2 linked regions of the Macaca mulatta genome follow. The protein of the gene in region 1 purifies or fractionates together with the protein of each later gene. This does not show direct contact. Links are inferred from orthologs where the notes say so. Each region holds a gene or a part of one and is shown in the gene's direction. Other genes may lie near its edges.

Region 1 (3,804 bases):
GGGTGGGCGTTGAGACCTGGGTTGCGGCTGGGCACGGGCAGCCTCCACGCCTGGGTGGGATACATGAGTCGGTTTCTTTTCTGGTGGCAACTTGGAGAGTTTAAAATCAATGAGATTGGATTCTGGTAACAAATTGTTGACGTGAGAGAGTAGAAGGGCAGCAGGGAGCACGGCCGGGCTCCGAGGCTTCCTGGGGCCCCCACGTTGTGGTGGGAACAGCAGGTGGCTGCCGCCCACACAGGTGCTCTGGGAGAAGGAGCCCTGGCCCCAAGCTGAGGTGGGCCCCACTCCCCTGGCCCATGAGCCATGCAGGCAGGAGGAGCTCTGCTCACTGGGGTCTCGGCAGGGATCCAGGGGAGCCACTCAAGTGGAACTGGGGCCTGTGACCCCCGGCAGGTCCCAACTCTGGCCCACAACGGCCTCTGGCAAATGCGTCTCCATGCAGGACTCCGAGGCCAGGTCGTGGGGTTTCCCTGGTAGCTCCTCGAGGGGCTCTGGGTGGCAGGTCTGGGAGTGGTGGAGCTGGGAGGCCATGTCCCCCAGCCGGCCGCGCTTCCTCCTCTGCAGGCGGGAGTGGGAGACGCGTCTGCAGGAGACGCTGGGCCCGCACTACGTGCTGCTGTCCTCGGCGGCCCACGGCGTGCTCTACATGTCGCTCTTTATCCGCCGGGACCTCATCTGGTTCTGCTCAGGTGGGTGCGGCTGGAGGGGTGGGCGCGGCTGGAGGGTGGCAGCCCCCCTTTCCACGACTGACCCGTGGCCTTGGCAGGACAGGCACGCTTTGCGTCTGGGATCTGGGGGTTGCTATGTCACACACGGGCTCCACAGTGAGCCCTCACTGGCATGCGGGTCCGGCCACGACCCCCGGCCTGCAGCGTCCTGCAGGTGAGCTGAGGGCTGCCCCTCCCGCAGAGGTGGAGTGCTCCACGGTGACCACACGCATCGTGTCTCAGATCAAGACCAAGGGGGCCTTGGGCGTCAGCTTCACCTTTTTTGGCACCTCCTTCCTCTTCATCACGTCCCACTTCACCTGTAAGTCGCTCGGTGCCCGTGCCGCAGGTGCTGCGTGAGAACAGCCTTCCTCTCCTGACCAGGACCCTGCCCAGGGCAGGGATCCTGGCTGCTGGCTTCATCTTCCACCCAGGGCCGTGGGGCGGGCACCATGCTTGCTAAGATGCACGCTGAGGACCCCCAGCAGACCCCGGCACTGAGGGCATGCCGTGCTGGGCCCGCGCTCCGTCCTCCGAGGCAGAAATGTCCCTGGCCAGGCCTGGCAGCGGATGCCTGGTGGGGTTGCGTCTGCAGGGGGCGCGCAGTCAGGGCATGGTCCAGGGGGCAGCTCTTGAGGGAGACCCAGAACCCTGTGACCCCTACCCCATTTCTGTTCCCACAGCGGGCGACGGGAAGGTGGCAGAGCGGCTGCTGGACTACACCAGGACCGTGCAAGCCCTGGCCCTGCCCAGAAACGTGCCCGACACCAACCCCTATCGCTCCAGCGCAGGTGAGGGCCCCCACACTGCATGCGGGTGGTGCTGCCGTGGTTCACACGCGGGGCGCCCGTCGTTTTTACGGCAGCTCTGCAGAGGCAGCGTCCTGAGCTCTGGGAAGCGAGGGCCGAAAAGTCCAAGTGCCCCCAGCGCATAGCCCCTCATGGTTCTTTAGCACGGTTAGTGGGGTGGGTGGATCCCGTCCACTCACAGCGTGTCCTGCTAGCCTGGGTCCTGGTCCTCACCACTGCCCGCCCTGCCGCCTCCCCCGGCTGTGTGGAAAGGAGCAGAGACATGGTCATCCCCTGCCATGGGCGCCGTCTGCTCCTGAGGCTGCTCCAGGTGCCTTCTGGAGCTGTCCCAATGCGAATCGGGGCCCAGCCCCTCTGGCTGGCACCCGAGACCCACTTCCCCTGGGAGCCACTGCCAGGCCGTGTTCTGGGGAAGGGGAAGGACCTGCCATTGCTTGCCTGTGCCCATGCATGGCCCACTGTGCCACAGCGGACGTCACCACCCGCTTCGATGAGGTGTTCTGGTTTGGAGACTTCAACTTCCGCCTGAGCGGCGGGCGCACGGCCGTGGACACCCTCCTGTGCCAGGGCCTGGTGGTGGACGTGCCGGCGCTGCTGCAGCATGACCAGCTCATCCGGGAGATGCGGAAAGGTGAGGGCCTGGGAGGGGGGTGGGCGTGGCGGGAGATGCGGAAAGGTGAGGGCCTGGGGTGCCACGGCTGGCACGAACTGGTCTGAGCCGGTCCGGGTGCCCATCCTGTGGCAGGGTCCATCTTCAAGGGCTTTCAGGAGCCGGACATTCACTTCCTCCCGTCATACAAGTTTGACATCGGGAAGGACACGTACGACAGCACCTCCAAGCAGAGGACACCCTCATACACGGTGAGCCCCGCCCGTGGCCGGCGCAGAGTGCTTCCAGGGCGGGCACCTCCCACAGCCGGGAGCCAATGCCTGGCATCAGGGGTCTGAACCTGGACGGCCTTGACTTGAACTTCAGCTCTACACCCTGGCCTCGTGGCGAGTCCCCTTTGGTGGAGAACGGCACCCTCTCCATGGGTGTTTTCAAGGCTGGGTGAGCCGACTGGCACACAGGGCACCGGCCATGCCCTCGCCCCTGGCGTGCAGAGCCTCTGCCCGTTGCACCCTCACTCACCCTTCCGCCAGGCCCATGGCTGCAGCTCTGGGCACGTCCCGATGTCTGCTGGATGCCTCAAGAAGCCACTGAGGCAGGGCAGGGTAGGAGCAGCCGCTGTTCACAGGGTCTCCAGCGGCGAGGGACAGGCCCTGGTCCAGCTGGCCACAGACACCGGGCAACAAAACGGGCATAAGTGTCGGGGGTCCCAGAAGGCTCCCTCGGGGGGCACTTGAGAACAGCGGGGAGGTGAGTGGGCCACGCCCCACAGCGCCTCAGGAGTAACTGGACTTCCTCCCTCCGGAATCTTCCCGAAGGACCGCGTCTTGTACAGAAGCCGCCACAAGGGTGACATCTGTCCCGTGAGCTACTCCTCCTGCCCCGGGATCAAGACCTCCGACCACCGCCCTGTGTACGGCCTCTTCCGGGTGAAAGTGAGGCCGGGGCGAGACAAGTCAGTGTTCTCCCGCGCTCCTTCCCTCTCGGGCCCGGGGGTTGGGCCGTCGTCCCATGAGCTGAGAAGGGTCCCTGTCATCGTGGGGTTCCACTTGGGGCTTTGTCCTGGGACCTTCAGGGCTGTGCACCCCCAGGATCGGTTGGACTCATCCTGGAGCAGGAAGAAGGCAGGAAGGGGAGCGGCTCTGAACAGTGAAGAGGCCCAGCTGGGGGGCTGGGTGTGGCCAGCTGGGGGGAGGAAGGCGTTAAGCACTCAGGTGTCCGCCCATCCTTCCTGTGGCTCTCCCAGGAACAGGCCTCTGTGTGCTTAGAGGCAGTGCCAGCCCGGGCCGGCGCCCGCCTAACACCCCTCCTCCGGGCCAGCGCCCACCTAACACCCCTCCTCCGGGCCAGCGCCCACCTAACGCCCCTCCTCCGGGCCAGCGCCCACCTAACGCCCCTCCTCGTGGCCCTGGGCGTCCTCCTAACACCCCTCCTCCGGGCCGGCGCCCACCTAACGCCCCTCCTCGTGGCCCTGGGCGCCCACCTAACGCCCCTCCTCCGGGCGCGGCGCCCACCTAACGCCCCTCCTCGTGGCCCTGGGCGTCCTCCTAACGCCCCTCCTCCGGGCCGGCGCCCACCTAACGCCCCCTCCTCCGGGCCCGGCCCCCACCTAACGCCCCCTCCTTGGGCCCGACCCCTTCCTAACGCCCCCTTCTCGGGCCCGACCCCTTCCTAA
Region 2 (3,904 bases), on another chromosome or scaffold:
TTCTCCATTAAAGTTTTGCCAGCTGCAATTAACCTTTTCATCAGGGCCTCCTTAGCATTCTGATGTCGTTTCTTTTATGCCATTTTATCACACTCCATCTTGAATCTCAGTGGAGTCTCCTTATTTCCCTAAATAGATGTTTATCTTCCTGGTGGCAGTGACCATGTCCTTCACCTTTTACCCACTCAGTGCCTGACAAATAACAGGCTGAAAAGATATTTATTGAATTACATGGAAGAAAAAATTGGGTGAGTTCCCAGATGGGTGAAAGAGGGGACAGGCAGAGGAAGGAAGGCCAAGAGAAGGACAGAGGAGGTTTCCAAGGAAACCGTGGCTCACACTGCAATTTTACCTACTTCCTGAAATCACATTAAATGTCACCTTGAGTGGCAAAAAACAAAACACCAAGTCCTACCTAGGCTGAAAATAAATATCACACTCCCTCACTTGAAAGAAATCCACCAAATAAATGCTACCTAATTCTGGGTGTTTCAACACTGGATAGGAAAACTGTTCAAGGAGAATAATTCACATTGCTATGCTGCTAAAAATATCACCTCCTTAGTGTGGTGCAAAGAGTCCAGACTGCAAGTCAGCCGACTTAGGGCTGAATTCTAACTCTGCCCGAACTTGCTGTGATCTGTGGCCAATCCCTTCGCCTCTCTGGGCCTCAATTTCCTCATACGTAACAACGGGGTAGATTAGCAAAGTCCCTTTATGTTTTGATATTCTGAGTATACAATCCATAGCTCTCCCGGTCCAAAGCAGGAATACAGCAAAAACCCCTGAAAAACACGTAAAAGGCGCCTCAGACCAACAAGCACGATTTGAAGAAGTCATTTTGTTATCTTTCACGGTTTAATCAGTGTTTTTGTTTGTTGTTAGCAGCCTTACCATGATTTGCAGAAGATGTCTGAGTTCCATGTAAACAGAAGTTAACTCTCTGCGGGCTGTCATCTTCTTTTGACGGTGAGAAGGGTCTTCCCGCTGGGTTTCAAGTCTCGGGATTCCGAAACCACCAACTCAGCGGGCGGGTTTGTGAATTTGCGCACACTGCGCGGCACACTGGAGTCTAAGTTACAGAGGAACCGAGTGCAGAGGATGCTGGGATTTGTAGTCTCCGGACCTCTTTGTGGTGCGCTGGGATCTGTAGTCCCCCGAGTGCGCCGCTGGAATGCTGGGAAATGTAGTCTCTGTCGCGTAGCACAGTGCAACCAGCTGCCGTCTCGAATGGCTAGTGTGCTCAGCTGCGGGAGCAGGTCCCTAAAGCCTCTGCAGATCCGAAGCCAACACTCCGCTGGGACAAACTCTAGGCAATAACACCAGATGAATATTGTGTCCTATGGGACTTCCCGGGGAGGGCCCTTCCCATTGACGTTAACAGTCCCCCTGCGAAGGCGCAGCGCGCTCCTACTGGCTGGTTGGGATGCCAATCACCAAAGCTGGCTTTCCATTGGTTCCAGGGGGGCACTGCGAGGCTAGGGGGAAGGAGAAGGGATCAGGAGCGGGAGCTGAGGGGAGAGAGAGGCCGGTCCTGGTCTGGCCGCTGCGGCTGCTCGCCCGAGGTCTCCAAGCCGGGCTGCGGCTCCATCCTCGGCTCCTGGGCACCGTCTGCGAGGCTCCGCCGACCAGAGTGAGAAAGCCGCGGGCGGCTAGCGCCGCATCATGTCAGCCAAGGACGAGCGGGCCAGGGAGATCCTGAGGGGCTTCAAACTGTATCCGCCCGGGAGCGGGGCGGGGCCGGGAGGACTTGGGAGGCGGCCGCTCACTGAGGAGACTGGCCGGGGGCGGGGGCCGCGCCAGGTGGGCCCCGCGGAAGAAGGGCTGCGGGAGGGGAGAGGAAAGGAAAAGCGTGCCGTGCACCCGGCGGGACCAGGCGCGAGAAGCGCCCCCAGGGGCGTCCTGAGGGAGGAAGGGGACGTTGACGGGAGCCACAGGGGGTGGCGGGTGGGGACGGAAGAGCTTGGGGTACTGGGCTGCGAGAGGTGCCGGGCGTCGCAAACGCTATCGGAGAGACCGGCTGGGTTCCAATCCCCGGCCGGGACCCAGAGGCCGGGAGGGGGCTGCGGCCCGCAGGGAAGGGCTGAGGGGGCGCGGTGGGCTGATCTTAAAGTCTAGAAGCCTCTTTGGCTATAAGCCTACCCGAGGAGCGGGGAACAGTGACTTGGAGCGGGCGACCTTGTGTGGGACAAATACCAGTGCTTTTAAAACTCTCTCAGGGCCCCCACCGCACCGCACCCCACCCCCGTCTGGTTTCCACAACTTCTCTTCCAAACTTGTGGCTTCTTCCAGGGCTAGAGTAGTTGGGGGAGGTGGGGAAAGAGAAGTCCAAGATCAACCTCGTCTTAACACTCTTGGTCTTCTGAGGCATTGGTCACTGCTTCCCCCTCAGCGCCTCAGTTTCCTTTCCAGCAACACGAGGACCATAGGCTTAGGTGTGGGGTGCCTCGCGCTGGGGCTCCTAGCCGAGGTGTCTTTGCTCGCTCCTGTTGGTGCGGTTAATGCCTAGCTGTGGTGGAGCTGTCCAGCAATAGTGTGATGTCGCTGGGGCCACGGTAGGATAGTGGGGTAGAGAAATCATTGCCTCGGGCCTGTTGTGATGCCGCTCTTGCAGCCTCTCCTTAATGTGGTAAGGAAGCTTTGTGTTTTCGTGGAGTGTGTTAGTCTGTCACCATATGATGCAGATGAAAAAATGCAAACTTGTATATTCAAATTTTCCATTCTCCTGCCGGCTTTAATCTCTGCATACATCCTGTCTGTAATCTATAGTACGGAACGTTCTTAAACTGCTCCCTCAGTGAAAAGGTAGTCACCGCTTTAGGACTCCTCCCTTGGAGGTTTAGTAAAGCACTGTTTTCTTGATATTCTGTTGTGTTTTCACAATGTCCATGTCACCCTTGCAAAATTTAATTGCTTTGCTATAATCAGAAACCAAGTTGGTAATACATTTTAGACCACAGTGCAAAAAGGAAGTTTTGGATGTACAAGTGAGATTTTTCAAGTGAAAATTGATCTAGGCTTTTAAAAAAACCTAAAGGCTGTATCACCTTTGCATACTACCATTCAGGATAAAGTTTCAGTACTTTCATGTAGTGATTTAGTAGCAGCCTCTTTAGAGCTCCATGTGCCTTTCTGTGTTTCTCTCCATAATGGATCATATAGGTATATAGGGATGACTGAAGTGCTGGAAAAGCTATGACATGAATTTTATTTTTCCCTCAAGTAATTTGTATTATTACTTAACATATAACAATGTAATAATATTGTTACTTAACATGCTGTGTAAGCAGTAAACCAGAAACTATGGAGAACTGAGAGATTTCAGAAGCAACGTTTTCATCTGATTGGAAATACCATATTGCTGAAAAGAAGAAATACCTTTTTAATGGCTTTTGAACAAAGCAGAAAAGTTTGAGCTTCTCACCTTCAGTCTTGGCTCTTGAACCTGTTAAGAAAGAGGATAAGAGACAAATACGGAAAAGAGTTTCAGAAAGCAGAATCTGTGTCAGCCCACTAGAAGGAAAAGCGAATCAACCAATTCAGTGATGTTAGTGCATCCAGAAACAGGCTTTCGGGGAAAGCTTGACCTGAGCTGATTAAATCCTGAAGCACCAGGGAAGCAGCCACATCAAAAAGTTAGCATGAGAGCAGTGGCGTGCTCATCCTCTGGTAGCCTTTATTGGGCATTTGTGGAGTAAGAGGGAAAAGAAAAGCAGGAATGTTAAGATATGCTACTACCTTCAGGAAAAAGTAAAATTAATGTTTTAGTAAGAAACTGACTATTGTCTACCTTTTATTGGGTAAATAGATTTTCCGAACTTTCTTTCAGAGTATCTGTTTCTGTAAGAATAGTTTATCACTACAAAAAGAGCACCATTATGTTCTCCCACCAACAGTGTTGATA

Evidence for each region.
Region 2: the proteins of INPP5E (region 1) and PDE6D purify together in Homo sapiens (affinity purification with mass spectrometry; 3 studies listed by BioGRID and IntAct, with this or other methods). This does not show direct contact. The link is inferred for Macaca mulatta from reciprocal best matches to the Homo sapiens genes INPP5E and PDE6D.

Annotation. Positions count from the first base shown.
Region 1 is NC_133420.1:6,069,686-6,073,489, forward strand, and holds part of INPP5E (phosphatidylinositol polyphosphate 5-phosphatase type IV), read left to right. Parts: intron 1-567; coding exon 568-692; intron 693-912; coding exon 913-1,044; intron 1,045-1,393; coding exon 1,394-1,501; intron 1,502-1,988; coding exon 1,989-2,150; intron 2,151-2,264; coding exon 2,265-2,380; intron 2,381-2,947; coding exon 2,948-3,084; intron 3,085-3,804. UniProt on the Homo sapiens protein: Phosphatidylinositol (PtdIns) phosphatase that specifically hydrolyzes the 5-phosphate of phosphatidylinositol-3,4,5-trisphosphate (PtdIns(3,4,5)P3), phosphatidylinositol 4,5-bisphosphate (PtdIns(4,5)P2) and phosphatidylinositol 3,5-bisphosphate (PtdIns(3,5)P2).
Region 2 is NC_133417.1:137,046,208-137,050,111, reverse strand, and holds the start of PDE6D (retinal rod rhodopsin-sensitive cGMP 3',5'-cyclic phosphodiesterase subunit delta), read left to right. Parts: upstream 1-1,470; 5' UTR 1,471-1,665; coding exon 1,666-1,715; intron 1,716-3,904. UniProt on the Homo sapiens protein: Promotes the release of prenylated target proteins from cellular membranes. Modulates the activity of prenylated or palmitoylated Ras family members by regulating their subcellular location.